Xenopus tropicalis: one gene and its partners. The protein of the gene in region 6 binds, or shares a complex with, the protein of the main gene of each other region. Links are inferred from orthologs where the notes say so. Each region holds a gene or a part of one and is shown on either strand. Other genes may lie near its edges. The genes, in order: cnot7, cnot2, cnot8, cnot11, cnot10 and cnot9.

Region 1 (4,153 bases), on a different chromosome or scaffold from region 6:
AAATGCAAAGAAGCGCAGCCGCGTACCTGGCCGACATTTTCTTACCAACTGAAGACACTTTGGGTCTCACCGCCGATACGAACCTGCTTGCGCATGAGTAGTTGTAGGTAGCAGGAAATCTGCTTCAACTGCGCATTCTCAAGCAGGTTAGGTGTCGGCTGTGAGACCCAAAGAGTCTTCAGTCGGTAAGATGTTGGCGAGGTACGCGGTTGCGCTTGTCTGCATTTTTAGCTAGCAGTCAGCAATAGGGACAGAGTGTAAACTTGAAAACAATGCGATATGGGAGAGGTGGGGGGGGGGTCTAGGCAAAGAGTGCCATCCGGAAGTAAAGTTCTCCTTTAAAAATATGTTAATCAAAGTCCCTGAAACAGCACCGTGTGCCACTATTCTAAGAGTTTTAGTTGCTACCTAGCCTACCCAATGGCAGGCACCTTACCAGACCATGGCCACCATACACCTTTAGCAGTTGAGCCCATGGATCTTTACTATCATAAAGCTGCTACAATTAGCTTAGAATAGAAAATACAGCATTTCTAGCCATATTCTTTTTTTTTAGGCTTTAGTTCTACTTAGAAATATCTTTAACAAATAAGTGCAGTAAGCAGCCTGACTTGTTTCTACACACTAGAAAAATTATAACTGCAATATAAACCGAACCCATTGTACTGGACAAAAAAAATATTAATATTTTAATGTAAACAAGTACTTATATTGCATATTAAAGTAAATTAATTATTCTATTATTGTTATGTCACACGAAACATTGGGCCATTAGAGTCTATAGTTGATATAATATTACCCTGACAGCGGAAGCAGTGTGGCAGATACTGCAAGCAAGGATTGCTTATAAACAGTAAATAGGTTCCCCTTTGAGGAGACTCAAAAATCTATAAAATCTTAAATATTCCTGAACTCTTAATGCCAATTTCAAAAATGAAAAACATTTTTGGAGGGGAAACAAACATCCTAAACATACCATTGCAACATAATTATACTTGCGTATAACTTGGCGGATTCTCTTCATTTGATCATCCAGGTTGCAAGCCCAGACTTCGCAAATTCGCTGGCTGAGGTCCACTGTTGCAGCTGGCATAGTGGGTCTGGGGGACTGACTCAGAGGCAGGCATCAAAATTTTGCAATTAGCTATTAAAGGGTTTCATAGGTGGTAGGCCGAGGCCGAAATCAGCTGCTAAATCTAAAATTAAAAGAAGAATAGTTTTTATTTTACTAACAAATAAAAAATAATATACCGGTATAATACTAGCAGGCAGAACATATCAGGAAATGCCAAGAAAGGGGAAAGGTGGCCCATGTGCATGCCACCACCTTTTGAACAATATGCACTTTGTGCAATACATTTTATATTAGGAATGGGGATCCTCTGACTATGGAGTGTGTTTGGTCCATGACATTACCCAAAAATTGATTTTTGTATTTTGCCCATATATGGTGATCCATTGTTAATATGAGTTAGGGGAAGTTGTGGTTGAAGCACAAAAGTGTATAAATAGAATATTTCTTCTCTCTACCCATGGTAATAGTTGTAAAGCCATCTTTTAAGTCAACACTGTGGCTTCTTTAGGGAGTAGCATAATTCTATTTTGCCTTAGTGCTCTATACAGCAAGGCCCAGCAATCTGAGCTTTCTGGCCCATCACTAAGCAGAGATAATGAACACAGCTGGTACTGTTAGGCTTCAACTGGGTAGTAATAATGTAGGCTAGCAGTATTATTACAACTCTTGGAAAGTGACCATACCAGAGTTCTATACATAAGAATCTCTAGGTGCCACCCTGGATGCAGACCATGTTTTATGCAGATCATGTGTTAAAGGGGCAGTATATGCCAATATACAACATTAGCAAAATAAATAGAACATATGCAAATAATACAGCATATCATTGAACATATCAACTGAAAAAATTGCATATTTCTTAGTGATAACATTATAATAAATCAGAAATGAAGCATTTGTTTTCTCCTATGCTTACTCTCTTACCATTAATTAGATGAGTTAGTTTATCTAGATATACTGAGCTCTGTATAAACAACCCTCATCCCATCACCCTTTGTTATGTCTAGTTTGGCTTACAGGTTGGCAGGATTTCCTTTGTGCACTGATAATGATCTGCCTCACAAAACATGCATGAGCTTCAGTTGACTGTTTAGCACAGAAAACATCAAAAACAATAAATGTTTCCTGATTAAAACAGACAAAAAGTATGATCAGCACAAGTTCTATTCATTGCAATCATAATGAACAAGGGGGTATACTGCCCCTTTAATAAAAGCCAGAAATGAATGGGGAGAAGCAGGTCTCCCTGAACTGTCTTGCGGGGTAGACAGGAAGATGTCCAGCTGCACTTGTTGCTGAAGCGTATCCTTTGGCTGATGAAGGATGCTGGGTAATGTAGTTTACGAGCTAGGGGTTCGCCACACAGCTGCCAATAAAAGCTGTTCAGGTGCAAGTATCCCTTCTGCGTCCCTTGTGATTGAACGAGCTGGAGGCTCCCCGACTGGATACTGGCCCATAGTCACGGTATGTGCGCTAAGCACCAATGCCTACTGATGCTTGTGACAGACAATACAGCCGCCTCTGGTTGTGCCCAGTGTGTGTGTGTGTGCCATCCCACTGCTCCGTATCCGTTCTGTAAGGCTCACAGCCCGACACTATCCCTGCCCTACCTAAGATAAGTCTGGCCGCTGCCGGTCTGTCACTTCACGACCGCGCTCCCAGGGCTCGCACAGGAGATTACCGAGGCCCCTACACGTCATGCGAGCGACGCGCCAGTCCCACGGCAGGTTCCTGCTAACCTCCTCCCGGACGCACTTGGATGACGTCAAGCCGCCACAAAGGCGTGGAAAACCATCCCCTTCTCAAGCTGGTAGGTGACATGATGTCACAGGCTGTGCGTCATACGGCGCGACCCATGGAGAGTGAAAGTAAGTGGCAACTGGGATTGTGCTTGATGGGATAAACACACAACTGTCTATCTAGTATGTGTGTGCAGGTATGTGACAACTGCGTGTATGGCTTCTCTCAGATATCATGGTGCGTAGGGAAGGTTACATACATGTTGTGTAGCACGGCAAGGGACAACTGGGGGTGTAAGAGGAAGTGACAGCCGACTGTATCTTGCGGTTTTATTTAATGTTATCTGAGTGAGGGTTGAAGGTTAATAAGGTACACTTAGAAATTGGGGGGGTGTTAATAAGGTACACTTATGAAGTGGGGGGGAATGTTAATAAGGTACACTTATGAAGTGGGGGGGAATGTTAATAAGGTACACTTATGAAGTGGGGGGGGAAGGTTAATAAGGTACACTTATGAAGTGGGGGGGAATGTTAATAAGGTACACTTATGAAGTGGGGGGGAATGTTAATAAGGTACACTTATGAAGTGGGGGGAATGTTAATAAGGTACACTTATGAAGTGGGGGGAATGTTAATAAGGTACACTTATGAAGTGGGGGGGAATGTTAATAAGGTACACTTATGAAGTAAGGGGAAGGTTAATAAGGTACACTTATGAAGTGGGGGGGGAAGGTTAATAAGGTACACTTATGAAGTGGGGGGGAAGGTTAATAAGGTACACTTATGAAGTGGGGGGGGAAGGTTAATAAGGTACACTTATGAAGTGGGGGGGGAATGTTAATAAGGTACACTTATGAAGTGGGGGGGGAATGTTAATAAGGTACACTTATGAAGTGGGGGGGAATGTTAATAAGGTACACTTATGAAGTGGGGGGGAATGTTAATAAGGTACACTTATGAAGTGGGGGGAATGTTAATAAGGTACACTTATGAAGTGGGGGGGAAGGTTAATAAGGTACACTTATGAAGTGGGGGGGAAGGTTAATAAGGTACACTTATGAAGTGGGGGGGGAAGGTTAATAAGGTACACTTATGAAGTGGGGGGAATGTTAATAAGGTACACTTATGAAGTGGGGGGGGAATGTTAATAAGGTACACTTATGAAGTGGGGGGGGAATGTTAATAAGGTACACTTATGAAGTGGGGGGGAATGTTAATAAGGTACACTTATGAAGTGGGGGGGAATGATAATAAGGTACACTTATGAAGTAAGGGGAAGGTTAATAAGGTACACTTGTGAAGTGGGGGGAATGTTAATAAGGTACACTTATGAAGTGGG
Region 2 (3,549 bases), on a different chromosome or scaffold from region 6:
ATGTGCAGTGTTAGTTTTCTGCCACACATAGCGTTTTGCATTTTGGCCAAAAAGTTCCATTTTGGTCTCATCTGACCAGAGCACCTTCTTCCACATGTTTGCTGTGTCCCCCACATGGCTTGTGGCAAACTGCAAACGGTACTTCTTATGGTTTGCTATTAACAATGGCTTTCTTCTTGCCACTCTTCCATAAAGGCCAACTTTGTGCAGTGCACAACTAATAGTTGTCCTATGGACAGATTCCCCCACCTGAGCTGTAGATCTCTGCAGCTCGTCCAGAGTCACCATGGGCCTCTTGGCTGCATTTCTGATCAGCGCTCTCCTTGTTCAGCCTGTGAGTTTAGGTGGACGGCCTTGTCTTGGTAGGTTTACAGTTGTGCCATACTCCTTCCATTTCTGAATGATCACTTGAACAGTGCTCCGTGGGATGTTCAAAGCTTTGGAAATCTTTTTGTAGCCTAAGCCTGCTTTAAATTTCTCAATAACTTTATCCCTGACCTGTCTGGTGTGTTCTTTGGACTTCATATGTTGTTGCTCCCAATATTCTCTTAGACAACCTCTGAGGCCGTTACAGAGCCTCTGTATTTGTACTGACATTAGATTACACACAGGGGCACTCTGTTTAGTCATTAGCACTCATCACGCAATGTCTATGGGCAACTGACTGCACTCAGACCAAAGGGGGCTGAATAATTACGCACACCCCACTTTGCAGTTATTTATTTGTAAAAAATGTTTGGAATCATGTATGATTTTCGTTCCACTTCTCACGTGTACACCACTTTGTATTGGTCTTTCACGTGGAATTCCAATAAAATTGATTCATGTTTGTGGCTGTAATGTGACAAAATGTGGAAAAGTTCAAGGGGGCCGAACACTTTTGCAAGCCACTGTACATATATATAGATACTATACTAAGAAACAGTTCTGTATATGCCTAATATATGACTTAAATCTGTCGATCTGATCAGCCTGATGTTACTTATGAAGGTCCACCGAGATATTTGTATGAATTACGGGTGCTATTGAATATATATAGAGAGTAGAACCCTGTTAGAACTACCTACGAGATTTTTGTACATTACACATTTGTTTATGTCCATTGATTTTGTCTATTTAGTTTAAGTGTTGATGTTTGAATATTTCACATATTTGGTCCGTCTTGATACACGTCACATCCTACGTCATCACCTTGTTTCCCGCCACTAAATGTATTTAGATGTGCAGTTTACACAATATGTTACTTTGAGAAAGGCTGGGAGTCCGGCCGAAACGTCAGTCTCCATTTGTGATGCGTGAATAAAACTACATTTCTTCATAAGTCCTGTGTGAAGCGGTCCTTCTGTTCGAGTATCTATGCAATTGTGATTTGGACTGCACCCAGGCCACTGATCCTGTACTTTATTGTGGGTGCTGGCTAAAATGAGGCAATATATGAACAGAGAGCTGCACACACAAGGACTTAACGATAAAGTGAAAACATTTTATTCAAAAAAATCCAACGTTTCGAGTACTAACTGTACTCTTCCTCAGGGACAAACCAAACTGGTTTGTATGTATATACATATACACATATATACACATACATATACACATATATACTGTATCTGCAAATACCTGTAGACAATACATGTACTCAAAAATTGTTGAGAACAAATAATTCCAGAATATTGCTCTACACATTTATTTTTCTTTAATAAACTATGCACATAAAACATGGAAATATTCACAGTTGCCAAGTACATGGCTTCTCATGTCACAAACTGATGCTTTAAAAAAAAAAAAAAAAAAAAAAAAAAATAAGATTAACTGTAAAATATATAATAGATCCCTATAATACAAATGTATGCCTATGCCGTTTCACTTAACTATTTTAAACTGCAAACTGGTTAAGAGCTTTTCTAACACAAACTGTAACTTCATTTTCATCATAACTTTCTTTTTATTGCTAGTCATGTTTTATTTTTCCATACCTGTTTGGAGATGGCGGTGTATGAAGCGACATTGTTGGTACCCCTGTAGTAGGCGTTACATGGTTTTGTAACTGAGTGCCTTGTGATAAGCTGCGGTTTAATTGAGGAGTATTGTTGCTCATCCCCCTCATTGGAAGGCCTAGTGCACCTGTACAATGATTAATAAGATACAAAATATATATATATCAATATATCTCATCAAGTTTCAGCATCACTTTAAAAGCAATATTTTACTTCCTCCTTAAAGGTATTAAAAGCCAGCATAGTGATCTGAGACATTATAGTTACTGCCTTTGAGCTCCACATCTGTTATTAAAAATTGCTGGTAAAATATGGCATTTTGGATTTTTTGTAACCCAGAATTTTAACATGTATTACTTTTAAAGGAGAAGGAAAGGCTAAGTCACTTGGGGGTGCCAAAATGTTAGGCACCCCCAAGTGACTTAGATCGCTTACCTTTTACCCCGGGCTGGTGCCCCTGTACGGAGAGAACAGCACCAGCCCGGGGTAGCAGCGAGCGCTTCTTCCTTCCTTTTCGCTTGCGCACGCATGCGCAGTAGAGTGAAAAGCCGAACTTAAACAAGAAAGTCGGCTTTTTACTCTACTGCGCATGCGCCGGCCAACGGATTTCGCAGGCAGAAGAAAAAGGAAGGAGGAAGCACTTCCTACAGGTACCCTGGGCTGGTGCTCTTTTCTCCTAACAGGGGCACCAGCCCAGGGTACAAGGTAAGCGATCTAAGTCACTTGGGGGTGCCTAACATTTTGGCACCCCCAAGTGACTTAGCCTTTCCTTCCCCTTTAAATGCTTTCAAGTTATCAAGTATCTTGGAAATAAATCAATAAGTATGAGGCATTTCAATGAGAAACAGCTTTACATATGCATTGTTCTGAATCTTGAACCATCAGTGTAGATAAATTCAGCTTCAAGTATGACAACATATGAGTAGTATAATTCTTTGTGACTTTCAAAATTCAATCCACTGAGTGTTCAAATAAGATCACACAATTTTACTGGCTGCTGCATAGAAATCAATATATAGATGGACTATGTGGTTAATACTAGCATTAATACTGGTCTTGGTAAAATGTATTACTGTATACCATTTGAAGAGCAAATAAATACCTGACACGTGTTGGTGTATTGCTCTTATATTTACTGAGTTGCCACTGACACAGCCAATACACCCAATTTTGGGCAAAGGCCCAAAATCAAGTAATTCATATCCTAAAAAGGCACAGCCAATAATCAAGTAAAATTGAACATGAGTAAGTGGCAACTATTAAATTTGATGTTGCTGCACCAGCTTTAATCATTCAACATGTCATGGTAGGAAGCTGGTTCCTTGGAATTTGGAGCACATTAAGTGTTTTTTTTTATGAGCTCTTTTGAATGGAAAAGCATTAAGCTTAACGATAACAAGTAAACATTATTTGTTATCTAGCAAACCTACTCATGCTAGTTCTGTTAAATCGATCACAAGAAATACATGTATTTAAATTGGGTTTGTTTTTTTCTTTATGAGAAATGCTATATAAAACATATGGAAAAAGAAGTAAAAAAAATATTGAATTACTG
Region 3 (4,309 bases), on a different chromosome or scaffold from region 6:
CAATAGTACAAACAGTGAGTTTATACAATGAATAAGCTTACAAATGTACCCAAGTTCAATATAAATCCAATAAATAGGGCTCTAAATACATTGTGGCACATTGACCTTTACACTCGATCCTACCTACTAAGATCTTCAGAGCAGCTGTGGAAAGGGGTAGTTACCACCTGTACCAGTTAAACTCCTGTATAGAGAACAAACTCCTTCTCTTAGCATATTACATAGGCAGCATTGTGGGATAGGGTGGGGTTAAATTATACATATGTTGTTATTTTCCTTTATATCTCTATAACTCTCTTGATTATATTTTTGTATTAAAGGAATGTGCACAATGCATTTTTGACACAAGCCCTACTTATACTTAAAACAGACTTAAGGCTTATGATCACAGACACTACTTGTGCACAAAAAAGAGTGAAGGTCCACATACACGGCCCGACTGTAGGCCATGTAGGGGCAGAAACAACGGTCGGGCAGGTTAAAAGATTTAGTCGGACCGGGGACCGCCATTATAATTCAATCATTTGGCCCCAGGGATCAAATTAGCCTACATGTTCCCCGATATCTCCCCCCCCGTAGGTGGGGATATCAGGTGAAGATCCGCTTGCTTGGCGACATCGCCAAGCGAGCAAATCTTCACGTGTATGGGCACCTTTAGTCAGAGTCAACCAGCAATCCTGATGAATCCCAATAGGCCTGTCAAAAGCCAAAACCCTATACATCTCAATTGCAACTGGGATAAGGGGGTAATATAATAATATACCCACGCAGACAAAGTGTCAGTTTAATGTAGACTTACCATTGCTATGTAGCCATAAGTGCGAACAAGCTCTCTAATTTTATGCATCTCCTCCTCCAAGTTGACAGCCCACACCTCACATATCACTTGGCTATTATCTACCACTGCTGCAGGCATCTTGAATTCAGAAAGGTGGCCAGTGAGATGTGTGGTACAGACAGAAAATCAAGCAGTGTTTTCCCCAGACAGAGGTGATGTCTCTTACCTAAAAATTTTAAAATATATACTTTAAGGTTAACTTGCAGAAACCCAAACATATTAAGAATTTGCAATCAAAAGACATATTAAACAATTATAGGTAAGGGAAAGGCAACACTGGGAAACACTACCCTGTTAGCCTTGCGGATGGTGAATACAGGGAAATGTTCTCCTGCCACCATTTGCCTTGCCTTGTATATTAGTATTCTAACACCTGGCAGTATTTATAGTAATACAGTTCATGAAACTGCTACACCACTATAAGTATATTACATATCCATCAGGTGAGTTAGCTGCCTGGGCACATAGATTATTCATCCCATTTGGTCCATTTTTCAACTTCACAATGGTTAGGGTGTGTGGAGTTAATGCAATAAAATATTTAGTTTAATCAGTCAGTTGGCCAAAGCAGAACTCCAGCATCTTTTAAGTAGTAATTTGGCTGATCAGCCACAATTAGGACATCCTTGTTTAACCCCTTTAGATCAGCAACAGAAAAAAGCCTCAGTCGTTTAGATCGCAGATTACTACAATTCACTAAGAAGCTCAAAACTTGGTTGTAGGGGGGCTGCAGTCCAGAACATTTTTTACAATAGAGAAATGCCGGACTGGTGTAAAAAGTAACCTATTGTATTCACTGGGTGTGACTAGCTAATTGGTCCCCACTGACTTTTACCTTACCTTTGGTTCTAATACACAACTTGGGACATTTTTGTTGCAGTGGTTAGCACTTTTGTCTTGCAGCCCTGAGGTCCTTGGTTCATTTATGGACACAGCACTGCCTTATGCTTACAGTGGTTTCCTTCCACACCGCAATAAAACTACAGGCAGGTTAATTGGCCCCTAATGAAAACCGTTGTATGTGAATGTGAAAGTACCCTGGGGCAGGGAATGATGTATAATCTCACTGCAGAAGATGGTGTATAATGAATATTGTACCCCCTATTGTAAAATATAAGGATATTATAAGTCACTGAGAAATGTAATTATATTAAAGCATGAGGTCGAAGGCCAAGTCCTTTTATACAGGCCATTTTACTCTGGGATGACCTCTAATATCCTTCTTTTTTACAACAGAAGTATTTAATTATAAGACACAAGTTTTGGCAACCATGTGGCAGAAATTAAATTGCCAAGCAGCATTTATAAGGATATCATTTACAGGATATGTATGGCTCCCATGTAACAGTACACAAGAGCCATTTTTTTCCTTCACACTATATATTAAACATATATTAACATTGGCTTTGTCATTTAATAATACAGTATTTCTTAAATTCATTGTACATTTATCTACCCCCCTTCCCTTGTGGTAAGATTTCCCTGTTAACAATATAGGAAATGATGCACCTACTGTTGCAAAATATAAGTATATTAGAAGCCAAGGAGGAGTTATATGCCAATTGCTCCTTTATATGTCTATGGAACTTTACTGTGACTCCTAATATCCTTATATCTTACAACCTAGTATAAACTATTCTGACTAAGACACAAGTTTCAGTAAGTCATTCCACAAATTAAAGAACTAAGCACAGATTATAAGTAATGACATTATTAAACGCGGTTTATAAGGATGTTGCCTACAGGCTACCGATGGCTAGCGTATATTAGAAATAAATCTTAAATGTCCATCCTGCAGGTCTCCAGCACATTGGCTGGAAACGGTTTGAGAGACGCTTGCCGGGTACTGTTCGTAGCAGATGCATTTAAAAAACAAAACTCCCCTTAGCCGGCTTTCTGATCAATCTCACCTCCCGGGCTCCGACCCGAAGCAGAGGGCAGCACGAACGTATATCTCCTACTTGTGCGTACTCTACGGTAACGTTCAATGGCTGACTCGGCGGGCGCTCTAGCCACTGCTCTCTATGGTCAGGATCGAAAAGCCAATCAAAAACGCGTTCCGAACCCAGGAAGTCGAGCAAGCGAGGTAGGCCCGGAGCATGCGCAGTTGAAAGGAAACTGAATGACTCTAATGGGCATGCGTGAAGGCTATGCCGCAGCACTGGATTTGCAGAATTCGTGAGGCATTACTATGAACTATGTATTCAAATGCCATTTGTGTTATTGGATTGTGTTGAAGGGGAGGATATTTATATTCTAGAAAAAAGTTGCACATAAGCTCAAAAAGTAAATAAGACGAAAGTGGAAGTAGTTTCAATCATTTTTATTGGGATTTTTTAAACATTATAGCCAAATAAAGGCATTAAAATATTTTCAAACATTAATATTTACATTATGCAGAAAAATAATCTGCAGTACAAATAATAACAGCCGTTGAAAACTTATACATTCAGTATTGGTCAACATATGATAAAATATGATATAATATAATTTAAAATTGTTGGTTAAGAAATTTGTTATGTACACGTATATTTATACCCGTATACTAATCACGCATTGAAAACGTGCAAAACGCGTATAAACTGACACTACTGAGATCCTAGGGGTGAAAGTGGAAGTAAAGCAATTAATAATGCAATTACCTTCACAATTTCCTTTCTAGTAGCCTGGTATGTAGTAATAACTCTAACTGTAGTAACCAAACTTAGTTTTAAAGTATGAATTTGAATATAATATTTGAGAGTAGAATCTCAAAATTATAAATATTGCATTATCATGATATTGCTTCAAACCCTTATTTCCATATAGAAGCACAAGGAAAATGTAAAAATTCTATACATTTACATTACATTGCATTCTGAATCCAGATGCAAAAATGAAGATTTTGAAGTCCCACAGGCTCCACGTTATAAACCCTCCTCATATGGGTGAAGACACACAGAGCTACTAGTAGCAGCTACTTGTCGTGGCTACTAAAATAGACAGTGCTGATCATTTACTGATAACTGTCTCTACGTGTGTTTTAGCAGAGGCAATTCTCAGTATTGTCTATGGCAGGGGATTTTCGGGTTTAGTAGTGCAAAAAAGAAGCTGCTACTAGTAGCTCAGTGTGTCTTCACCCTAAAAAGCATAACTCTCAACTCCCCCAATTTTGTTGGAATTTACCTTTTACCCCTGGGTTTTACAGGTTCTCTGGCAAATTATGTGCAAACAGTCAGCATTTAGCAACTTTAAAAGAGCACTCGTGCATGTGCAGCAACGTTACAGAGAGCGTTACAAAATGTCCCCCCTGGCCGCAGCTAGGGCCTGGTTAAAGTTGCTGCCTTTTCAATATGATAAGTCCAGATGGGGATGATTGTCTGAACACAGCGTCATTTTTTTCTGAGTCCTGTCTGAATTTTCAAATTCAAATAACCAGACAGGCAGCAATCCTAGGTCAGGTTGACGTAGCTGACAAGTAGAGACTAAAAA
Region 4 (3,549 bases), on a different chromosome or scaffold from region 6:
TTAATGGCATGATCTGGTTCTATAAGATTGAGCCAGGCTAACTCATCCTCACAAACATGAAGAGGAGGTGGGGGACGGATAAATTCTGGGCGAAAGTGGCCTAGAAACATCACAAAGACAGGTTCAGATACACTGTGTGTGAGTATCAGCAATTTTTAATATTGCAACTTTATTTGTGTGCAATTCATAATTAGCAAAGGACAGATATAAAGATATCAGGTCTTCATAAGATAACTATACTAAATGCTAGTCAAATCCTGCAGTGCTGTACATTATGGATACTGGATAGGATCTGTGACCACTTTTATTAATAAGGTCTTTTATAAAGATAGCTTGAATCTTGGCCATAAAGTGTGACGGATACGGTTTTTGAAGCAAACTAATAAGACATTTCAATACACTTCTTACAGTAGTTTTTCAAAATGTATGTATATTTAACTACTTAACTAAATATAAAACCTTGGTTTTAGACACATATACAAACAATAAAACAAAACGTACTTTCAATTGGTGGTTTTGGGCCGCTGACTAATGCTTCTATTATTTGCGATGCAACAGAACTGTCAAAGCCGGAATTGGAAGAATCTGGGTCTGGGTCACTAAGAATACTGGGAAAGCTGGCTTTGCTCTGTGTTGGGAGCTCAGACTGGCGCTCTGGAGGGAAATAGAAAGTCAGCAGATACAACAAAGTAAGCTTTAAAATAAAAAAAACAAAAAACAATCACTCTAATTTTTAAAAATGATTTCCTTTTTCTCAGCAATAAAACAGTACCTTGTACTAAAGGAGCAGCAAAAAAATTCTACTTAAGTTTACTTGACTTAAGTTTAAATGATTATTAGCAGATGTAAGGTATAGTGATTCGAATTACATAATCTCTTATCCAGAAACCCCAGAAAATTATCTCTCACTGAACAAATACCCTGTTTATAGTGGAGAGTGGGGAATTACTGCTTTATAATGGCAAAAGTAATGCTCAGCATATGTTTGTTAACATGTTGAGCCTTTATGAGACAGCTTTAGCCCCAATATGTTCATCTGAATGTTTTCGAATGCCTTACCAGCAAGAGCTAACTGTAGTCCACTAATGTCCACTGGTTGAGCCAAACTGGTCACATCCATCACAGCAATCTGCCTGGGTGTCTTTTTAAATAGCTCCCTTGGTGGTGCCAACATCAACTGTGAGAGGAAAAATTTTTCTGGTGGAGTAATTGGAGGCAGAAATCCTGTAAAACCAATAGATATATAACACATATGTTGTATATTGATTTCCACATTTATTTGCACCATCAAGCAAAATGATAAAGGAAGAAATATAAAATACATATAAACACAAATACTGGTATCTTTTATAAGAAATATTACTTTACCTACCCAGCATTACAAGAACAATAACTATAATATAAAGAGGAATCACATAAACAAGACTTCCTGTTACTTTTAAGTATTACAATCACTGACAATGGAACTTTTATGCATGTTATCTTGAAATGTCCCTCTGTCCAAAGGTATTGGCAAAAGTACTCTAGTTCCTGATCATGAACTAGCACTACCAAATCTTTTGCGTCAAGAGTTTGTCCATTGCAGATAATTTGTTACCTAATTCACACTCATTCACTACTGCTCATTATTCTATACCAAGAAGCTGGTTGCAATGACATGGATGGGCCTTACTGGGCTGATTCTTACCAGATGGAAAGCCTTAGTAAACAAACAAACAAACATTCTTTTATAAACTGACACAATGCAAGAGGAGCTCCATATAAATTTAACAAAATAAGGAGCCCATTGCTGGACTCACTGAGCCCTTGCGTCAGTTCTTGAGGCACGACGCCAGATCACGGGACTACTTAGAGTCAGGGAGAAAATATAAAACAAGTTTATGCAAATGACCTGCTGCTAAACCATTTGCCTCACTAGGTTTGGCCAATACTCAGTGGAGTAATACAATTATCAGAATAGTTACATACCGTATATACTCAAGTATAAGCCGACGTACCTAAGAAAACTGGAAAAACTTATTGACTCAAGTATAAGCCTAGGGTGGGAAATACAGCAGCTACTGCTAAGTTTTAATAATTAAAATAAATACCAATAAAATTACATAAATTGAGGTATCAGTGGGGTATATGTTTTTCAATATTTATTTCAAAGAAAAACAGTAAACTAGCTCTGTAAGTGGAGAAGAGGGTCAACAAAAACAATATGAGTACTACCCTATGCTCATTGCACATTGGCAAACTGGCAGCAGACCGGGTCCCGGAGGAGATGTAAGGGCAAATAAGTATTGCTAGTGGGAGCCTAGGCCAGGGCACTGGAGGGTCTGGTTGCAGGTGGCCTAATTTGCACACAAAGGAGAGAGGGTGCTAGTCTAGACGGACCCATGGGTGCTGAAAAACTAGGCTTATACTTGAGTATATAAAGTAGTTAAGTTGGGTTCAAAAAAGACCACCAAGTTCAAGTGAACCAGTTTACACATATAGACACATACTGACCTATCTATCCACTCACGTACATAAACTATATATACCAACATTAATACTAACTGTAGATATTAGTATCACAATAGCCTTGGATACTATGCTTGTTCAAGAACTCATCCAAGCCCCTCTTATAGGCATTAACAGAGTCTGCCATTACCACATCACTAGGAAGGGCATTCCCCAACCTCACTGCCCTCGTAAAAAAACCACCTACGCTGCTTCAAATGAAAGCTCCGTTCCTCTAATCTAAAGGGGTGGCCTCTGGTGTGCGGATTGTTTTTATGGGATCTTGGTTTAGATACTATATTTTGTGTCTAGAAAGAACATGCGCAGTGAAAATGTCCTAGTTACCAAAAACTTTTTTTTTTTTTTTAAATAGAGTTAAGTTAAGCTTTAGTTCTCCTTTAAAATTGATTGGATCCTAAAATTGCACTAAGGAAAGTTAACTCTCTACTATAAAAATATCTGTAGGGGTTTTATGTCCAAGTTATTACCCATTTTATAAGGCTGCTCATATTAGAGCACTTATGAAATAGTTCCACCCTGGAAAATCTTTCCCTTGGCTACATAATAGGAAATGTCAGGTTTTCTGCCAGAAATAAACACTAATAGTCTTTCCCAAAAAGAGAAAAACAATCTAATCACAGTATAATATTGGAAACCAATTATATAAAATAATTTAACTGCTCCAAATCCTATTGCACCATATCTCCCCAAAAACACTACTGTAGCTTTAGTCTCTGGTACTAGATGCAGCATATTCTGAGGTGGATAACAGGATTTTACTAGAATTACCAAGAAGGCTAAACAACATACATACTGTATCTAGAAACCTGTTAACTAGAAAGCTCTGAAATACAGAAAGGCCATTTCCAACAGATGCCAATATAATCAAATAATTCAGAAATAATTGAAAAAAATGATTTCCTTTTTCTCTGTAATATCAAAACAGTACTGTACCATGAATTTGATCCTAATTAAGATATAATGAATCCTTATTGGAAGCAGAACAATCCTATTGGGTTTATTCAATGTTAAAATGATTTTTAGTAGACTAGGCATGGTGAT
Region 5 (3,418 bases), on a different chromosome or scaffold from region 6:
TCCAATAGCAAATCTTTGGAGGGAGCTGAAACTCCGTGTTGCTCAGCGACAGCCCCGAAACCTGACAGATCTAGAGGAGATCTGTGTGGAGGAGTGGGACAAAATCCCTGTTGCAGTGTGTGCAAACCTGGTCAAGAACTACAGGAAATGTTTGGCCTCTGTAATTGCAAACAAAGGTTTCTGTACCAAATATTAACACTGATTTTCTCAGGTGTTCAAATAGTTATGTGCAGCAGTGAAATACAAAAATATTCTTTAAAAATCATACAATATTATGTCCTGAATTTTTTTTTTAAATGCTGTCTCTCACAGTGGGAATGCACCTACAATGTGAGTTTCAGACCCCGCCATGATTTCTAAGTGGGAGAACTTGCAAAATCGCAGGGTGTTCAAATATGTTCCTCACTGTAGCTATAGGAATCGTGTTATTTGCCTACTGGCAGCACCAGGGTTAATTTTTTTATTCTCTTTTCTCTTTTAAATGTCATTTAATTTAAGTGTTGGTGGGGGAAATTCTGAAGTGTTTTTACTCATTTTCTAAAGGCTTTCTATATATGACTGAAATCCATATTTCTACTGAAAGTAATTCGAGTTGTACATTTGTGTAATTGCATGGGTCCACAGCTGCGAAACCTCTCTCTCCATTGCTCCTTATATCTGTGCTTCCGATCTACGCTTTCTGCTTGCATGAAATAAGTATGCAAAGGTTCCAGCAGAGGAGTAGAATCCATATCCCATGCATATTTTATAAATGTAACATCATTTAAGTGAATATCCAAATTGCTTCATATCCCGATCCTCATGGGCATTCCCTGGTGCCATACTTGAATCATTAAAGTTTCCTTGCATGATACATTTACCCACTAGGGTTCCCATTCAAGAAAATCAATGTTCACAAACGCTCCACTGTGGTTGTCTCTCTGACAGATGGCATTGCCATGAGATCATATTTACACTGGAACAGGCATTCTGACATTAATATATTGGCACGTTATTGCATTATGCTATTCCCAGACACATTCTCTATTAGACCTTGAAAAATATTTGCATCCAGCATCCACATTTTCCTTTGTGTAATCCTAGCTCCTATAAAATGGGTTCTGCTGCTCCCCATGGATTGATTCCATTTAAACAAATTAGACCTAAAAGTGGGCAGTACTAGGCTTGGCCATTATAAAGATGTTAAGTGATTCAGTTGTCAGGGACCTGTTATCCAGAATGCTTGGGATCTGGGGTTTTCTCAATAAGGGATCTTTCCATAATTTGGAACCCCATACATTAAGTCTACTAAAAATCATTTAAACACTAAATAAACCAAAAATTATTGTTTTGCATCCAATATGGATTCATTATTTCTTAGTTTGGACCAAGTACAAGGTACGGTTTTATTAATAAAGAGAAAAAAGAATTTTGTAAAATTTTGAATTATTTGATTATAATGGAGGACATCGGAGCTGGCCTTCCCATAATTTGGAGCTTTCTGGATGACAGAACCCATACATTTACCTGAAATTAATTGGAAACATACATTTTGTTTACTTTTGGGACAAAATGATATACTAGGGAAAAAAGGTAAAGCCTACTTTTGTGTTTGCGTGTTGAAGTTTGGCAGAAATATACCCATGTTTTGCTGTATGGCTGGGATTTTGGATGCACACACTCAGCATCAGAGTACAGAGCATTTACTGTAATAACAGAAATAAACCTAATATTGAAGAAAATAAAGTGTTAAATGAAATTGAACTGTACATGCTAGCTAGATAAGGGCTTGTACTCTCACACATTTCTTTCTGTGCTGCTCGACAGTGGCGTTCTCCTACGTTCCACCGCAGGGGAGCACAGGGATAAGTGCAACCCTTTCTTCCTAATGGGGCTGTACTAACGCAGGCACAGGTCAGCACCAAAAGCAGGGGAATGCAACATTAGTACAGACCCATAAGGAAGAATGGGAAGCACTTCTTCCTGTGCTCCCCCCGCGGTGGAACGTAGGAGAACGCCACTGTCAGGCAGCACAGAAAGAAACACGTGTGAGTACGAGCCCTAAAAGTCTTCCTTGCAGAACACTTCTTGTTCAGAAATATTCTTTGGTTGTGCACAAGCACTGTGTGTCGACCCTAAAACTAACTATAACAGTAATCTGGGGACTGTGAAGGCCTTCCCTAAACCTTGAAATCAGATTTATTTTATTTTCAGCTTTGGTTGCGGACGTTTAAATATTGATTAATTCAGATTTTAGCTGATCAGCATCAAACAACAATAAAATATTCTGTATCTGGTATAAAAGAACAACATAAATCTAAGGCACAACAATAGGCTGGTTTAAGTGTAATGGTTGTTCGGGTCAAAGCATTTTGTAAAATGTTGAAACATCCAAAGCCAAATAAAACCAATCTTTCTGCTCAAAGCACTGTATTTATTTTTGTTTTTGTAGGCAATACCCAGCTGGCCTTGCAGATCATCAAAAGGAATCAGCTTCTCCCGTCCATCAGAATGATGTCAGATCTTCGAAAGAAGCCATTATTCCAGACAATGCATCAGCCAATGCAGCCAATGCAGCCAATTCAGATGCCAGCTTTTACTGCTGTTCAGAGAAAATGATTTATGGTGGTCCAGGGACTTGTAGAGAACATGGCCTCAAACCATTCAACTCAATTACTCAGTGATCTGGCGAATGTTCTTGGCATACTTCACTCCTGCTTTATCCACAGTATACATAATGTACAAAGGATCACATGTGCCAGGTTCATCAATTTTAACCAAGTAGGAAATCATGCCCTGTGACCTTTGACATGGGATTTCATCCTTGTTTTTGTAAGGAATGGAAGAAGTCATGACTTTTATATATAAAAAAAAATGTAAAGCCATCATATGGTCAGATTAGGATAACACTGGTATATTAAAAGTATTTTCTTGCTCACTTGTGTGTGTGTGTAGTAATGGTTGGAGATGGGAATGGTTATTGTGGGTATAGAATATCTTAAGGGCCAATTTAACTGGCTAGTTTAAGTTGACCAGTACTTGCCATTGAGCACAGAGCTTGATATAGGGGTTGGCTCTGTGCGCAGTGTACAACATGATATATAAAGCCAGATAATAGCAAGCTAGATAAGTTTAAAGGAAGGTAAAAACTAAGTAAGCTTTATCAGAAGGGTCTATGTAAATACAGCCATAAGCACTCACAGAAACGCTGCACTGAGTTCTCTGTCAAAAGATTTGTTGTGTCTGTTTTCTTCTGCCAGAGACACGCAGCTCTCTCATCTCTCCCCCCTCCCTCAAGAATGCTAAGAACTCACTCCCTTCTCTTGCTCTTGGTGCAGGAGCGAGGCATTATGGGAACTTTCTTTACACAGCTCAGCATTTTTTCTTCCTGTTTGGCTTCTGATCATCTGAACAGGAGAAATATGGGGAGACTTAATGG
Region 6 (4,007 bases):
ATTTGCATTTACTGGAAAAGCCCATTTTGAAAAAAAAAAAAAAAAACTTACCCTTAATTTTTTATGTATCTATGGAATGAATAACTGATGTGCCTTGCAACACTTTGCTGCCCCTATAAGCATCCCTAGGAATATTCTTGCCCAACCCAAGACATAATTCTAATCAAACACAAATACAAAGCTATCGCTCAGTTGATCACAGAACTCAGCACAGAGGAAACAGGTTGTAGCCTCATAGTGGTCTCGAATGATATCCCAGCAACTTGATGTGCTTGGTTACTCTATAGCAACAATCGATTTGTGTGTCCTCGATTTGTGAATGCCATTCAAGGGGAAGTACTCCCACCTTGTACACCATGGGGCTGATTTACTAATCCACGAATCCGGATTGAAAAATGAACATTTTGCGACTTTTCCGTATTTTTGCGTTTTTTTTGTCGCCGTTGCGACTTTTCCGTAAATTGTTGCGACTTTTTCGTAACCGTTACGACTTGCGCGAATTGACGCGACTTTTTCATAGCCATTACAAATTTCGTGAATTGTCCCAACTTTCGTATTGAGAGCTCGAAAAAGTTGCGTCAATTCGCGAAAAAGTCGCAACAAACGTGAGTAATAAAATGCAATTGTGCATCCAAATAGCTGCAAAACAAACCTGTAGAAGTGCTGCTATTGTGACTTTTTCATTGCCATTACGACTTTCACGAATTGTCACAACTTTTTCATAGCCATTACGACTTTCGCGAATTGTTGCAACTTTCGTATTGAGAGCTCGAAAAAGTCGTGACAATTCGCGAAAAAGTCGCAACAAACGTGAGTAATAAAATGCAATTGTGCATCCAAATAGCTGCAAAACAAACCTGTAGAAGTGCTGCTATTGTGACTTTTTCATTGCCATTACGACTTTCGCGAATTGTCACAACTTTTTCATAGCCATTACGACTTTCGCGAATTGTCATAACTTTTTCATACCCATTACGACTTTCGCGAATTGTTGCAACTTTCGTACTGAGAGCTCGAAAAAGTTGCGTCAATTCGTGAAAAAGTCGCAACAAACGTGAGTAATAAAATGCAATTGTGCATCCAAATAGCTGCAAAACAAACCTGTAGAAGTGCTGCTATTGTGACTTTTTCACTGCCATTACGACTTTCGCGAATTGTCACAACTTTTTCATAGCCATTACGACTTTCGCGAATTGTCATAACTTTTTCATACCCATTACGACTTTCGCGAATTGTTGCAACTTTCGTACTGAGAGCTCGAAAAAGTCGCAACAAACGTGAGTAATAAAATGCAATTGTGCATCCAAATAGCTGCAAAACAAACCTGTAGAAGTGCTGCTATTGTGCCGAAGGAGTGCCACAGCATAGGAGCAAGGTCTGGAACGGATTCACGCTTTTTGCTGAGCTCGAGCAAGGCATTCTCGCGGGTATCAGGGCTGGACAACTCATTAATCCACTGATAGATTTTCTCTCGATCCACCTGAGCAAGAGCTGCCGGCACAGGCTGATAAAACAGAGAAACACAGATAAATGGTCAAGTACACGTGGCTTATGCACATATTCACACTAGAAATGCGCTCCATTGGCCCCATACTACATAAAATCCCGAAGGCATAGAGGCGGGGCAGGCAATATATGATTGACAGCTCGGATTTTTAATAACAATTGCTTTCACTTTCCATTCAGCACTTCCTATACATCACCTTGATGGCAAATGCATAAGATTTTGGGGTGATACAAAGCTTGCTGACTGAAGGGAAAATAAATTCAATAATTGAAATCGTGTAAGTAAAGTTTATTTTGCTGTACTAACCTGATTTAAAAGGATTTGGAATTATTTCTTGGGGTGACAGGTCCCCTTTAATTGATCAGAATTTAAGTCATGTGACATTAAGATGACATTCAGGCAAATGCCATGCTGTTTAGGTGCCCAATACCCCTTGGAAATGATTGAAACTTTTTCCTAGAACATTACAGTTATTATATTATATATATAAATGAATCACTTTGCAACTTCTAACTTGTTTAAGGAGTCAGAACCAGCAGTGCAGAGAATACAAACAAGCATACGCTGCTTTTAAAGTCAATGATAAAGAACTTTCTAGCCAATGACAACGCGTAATGAATGGACAGTAGAGAGTTGCTGAGAATTATACTTGATTTCCTTATGCACCAAACAGTAAATGAGTGAAGTTCCCCTTTAAACTCCAGAATGGAGCGGAGTAAAGGGGAATAGTATGAAATTACGGAACGCAGAGTGGATCACTTCACATCACTTCGCGGTACAAGACAGGAGCAGCCAATAAACTTTCTTTGATCAAACCCGGGACCCACAATAATAGTAACCGGACAGGCTGTGACCCTGCAGCTCATGTGGGACTACAAGTCTCTCCACACCTGAAGGATTGTCAGATATTCCTGCAATGAACCTGACCGCACCGTTCCCAATAGACAAGGGGACTCCCCCTCTCCTTACACACACACATACACTGTGGCCCCTGAGGGCCTACCTACCGCCGCCGTGGCCAGGCTGTGCATGTTCCTGAGCCCTCCTTTCCTCCCTCGGTACCGCTTACTCCCCGCTGCAAATCCTTGCACCACCCCCTTCCTTCCACGGAACCTCTCCACAACAACCGGAGCTCCGCCTCTACTCGGGACGTCATCAAACCGCGACCCACTCTGGTCAAAGCGTTACTGCCACCGTGAAACAAATAACGAAGCAAACATTTCGTCTCATGAATACATCCGGTCCCCAGATTTTGCTAACAAATTACGTTTTGAAAGCGCAGAAAGCAAGTATACGGGCAAACACCTGCGTCATCACCCTGTTCCACGCATCGACTGCTGCAGACGTCATCGCCCGGCGCCGTGGTCGGAGTGCGGCGCTGGAGGTGACGTCACGCGTCCCCTCTGGCTGTGGCGCTGTTCGCAGTGAGAGAGAGGTTCGGCTGATTCCAAGGTTCCCGCCAAATTGGTGCTTGCGTGACAGTCGGCGCTCTGAGAGAACTGGAAGGAGAGCAAGGAGAACCAGAGAAGGTGAGGGACGGGGGGCCGCCGGGAAAAGCATACAATCACAGTGACAGGAATGCGGTTTGCGGGCTATTTCTCTTGTCTTTTATCGCTTTCTGTGTGTCAATCCGACCAAGTACCCGGCGCTCTCCCTGTATTCTAGTCAGCCTGCCGCCCTCCCGCTGCTGTTCCACCGGCTCTAGTACCATTCCAAGCAAGTAGGCCGGCAGCGAACGGAGGGCCACCACTTACCCCGAAAAAGGTGAAAAAAAACTATTGGATGTATCTGGGCGATTTAGTTCTACCAGTGAAGCCTCCCATGTGAAAGCGTGTTATGGGTACAGGTATAGGACCCATTATCCAGAAAGCTCCGAATTGCGGAAAGGCTGTCTCCCATATACTCCATTTTAATCAAATAATTTACATTTTTAAAATTGATTTCCTTTTTTCTCTGTAATAATAAAACAGTACCTGTACTTGATCCCAACTAAGATATAATTACCCCTTATTGGGGCAGAACAGCCCTATTGGGTTTATTTAATGGTTAAATGATTCCCTTTTCTCTGTAATAATAAAACAGTACCTGTACTTGATCCCAACTAAGATATAATTACCCCTTATTGGGGGCAGAACAGTCCTATTGGGTTTATTTCATGGTTAAATGATTCCCTTTTCTCTGTAATAATAAAACAGTACCTGTACTTGATCCCAACTAAGATATAATTACCCCTTATTGGGGGCAGAACAGCCCTATTGGGTTTATTTCATGGTTAAATGATTTCCTTTTCTCTGTAATAATAAAACAGTACCTGTACTTGATCCCAACTAAGATATAATTACCCCTTATTGGGGCAGAACAGCCCTATTGGGTTTATTTAATGGTTAAATGATTACCTTTTCTCTGTAATAATAAAACAGTACCTGTAATTGATCCCAACTAAGATATAATTACCCCTTATTGGGGGCAGAACAGTCCTATTGGGTTCATTTAATTGTTT

Evidence for each region.
Region 1: cnot9 (region 6) and cnot7 share a complex: the UniProt entries of both Homo sapiens proteins name them as parts of the CCR4-NOT complex. The link is inferred for Xenopus tropicalis from reciprocal best matches to the Homo sapiens genes CNOT9 and CNOT7.
Region 2: cnot9 (region 6) and cnot2 share a complex: the UniProt entries of both Homo sapiens proteins name them as parts of the CCR4-NOT complex. The link is inferred for Xenopus tropicalis from reciprocal best matches to the Homo sapiens genes CNOT9 and CNOT2.
Region 3: cnot9 (region 6) and cnot8 share a complex: the UniProt entries of both Homo sapiens proteins name them as parts of the CCR4-NOT complex. The link is inferred for Xenopus tropicalis from reciprocal best matches to the Homo sapiens genes CNOT9 and CNOT8.
Region 4: cnot9 (region 6) and cnot11 share a complex: the UniProt entries of both Homo sapiens proteins name them as parts of the CCR4-NOT complex. The link is inferred for Xenopus tropicalis from reciprocal best matches to the Homo sapiens genes CNOT9 and CNOT11.
Region 5: cnot9 (region 6) and cnot10 share a complex: the UniProt entries of both Homo sapiens proteins name them as parts of the CCR4-NOT complex. The link is inferred for Xenopus tropicalis from reciprocal best matches to the Homo sapiens genes CNOT9 and CNOT10.

Annotation. Positions count from the first base shown.
Region 1 is NC_030677.2:42,299,976-42,304,128, forward strand, and holds the start of cnot7 (CCR4-NOT transcription complex subunit 7), read right to left. Parts: upstream 2,829-4,153; 5' UTR 2,686-2,828; intron 2,679-2,685; exon of another isoform or gene 2,000-2,678; intron 1,197-1,999; 5' UTR 1,094-1,196; coding exon 977-1,093; intron 1-976. UniProt on the Homo sapiens protein: Has 3'-5' poly(A) exoribonuclease activity for synthetic poly(A) RNA substrate. Its function seems to be partially redundant with that of CNOT8.
Region 2 is NC_030679.2:59,337,297-59,340,845, reverse strand, and holds part of cnot2 (CCR4-NOT transcription complex subunit 2), read right to left. Parts: intron 2,122-3,549; coding exon 1,974-2,121; intron 1-1,973. UniProt on the Homo sapiens protein: Component of the CCR4-NOT complex which is one of the major cellular mRNA deadenylases and is linked to various cellular processes including bulk mRNA degradation, miRNA-mediated repression, translational repression during translational initiation and general transcription regulation.
Region 3 is NC_030679.2:19,855,440-19,859,748, reverse strand, and holds the start of cnot8 (CCR4-NOT transcription complex subunit 8), read right to left. Parts: upstream 2,833-4,309; 5' UTR 2,749-2,832; intron 2,606-2,748; exon of another isoform or gene 2,582-2,605; intron 1,005-2,581; 5' UTR 917-1,004; coding exon 800-916; intron 1-799. UniProt on the Homo sapiens protein: Has 3'-5' poly(A) exoribonuclease activity for synthetic poly(A) RNA substrate. Its function seems to be partially redundant with that of CNOT7.
Region 4 is NC_030678.2:110,381,417-110,384,965, reverse strand, and holds part of cnot11 (CCR4-NOT transcription complex subunit 11), read right to left. Parts: intron 1,225-3,549; coding exon 1,060-1,224; intron 655-1,059; coding exon 502-654; intron 101-501; coding exon 1-100. UniProt on the Homo sapiens protein: Component of the CCR4-NOT complex which is one of the major cellular mRNA deadenylases and is linked to various cellular processes including bulk mRNA degradation, miRNA-mediated repression, translational repression during translational initiation and general transcription regulation.
Region 5 is NC_030682.2:50,256,176-50,259,593, forward strand, and holds the end of cnot10 (CCR4-NOT transcription complex subunit 10), read left to right. Parts: intron 1-2,431; coding exon 2,432-2,598; 3' UTR 2,599-2,917; downstream 2,918-3,418. UniProt on the Homo sapiens protein: Component of the CCR4-NOT complex which is one of the major cellular mRNA deadenylases and is linked to various cellular processes including bulk mRNA degradation, miRNA-mediated repression, translational repression during translational initiation and general transcription regulation.
Region 6 is NC_030685.2:82,339,197-82,343,203, reverse strand, and holds the start of cnot9 (CCR4-NOT transcription complex subunit 9), read right to left. Parts: upstream 2,804-4,007; 5' UTR 2,539-2,803; coding exon 2,515-2,538; intron 1,505-2,514; coding exon 1,325-1,504; intron 1-1,324. UniProt on the Homo sapiens protein: Component of the CCR4-NOT complex which is one of the major cellular mRNA deadenylases and is linked to various cellular processes including bulk mRNA degradation, miRNA-mediated repression, translational repression during translational initiation and general transcription regulation.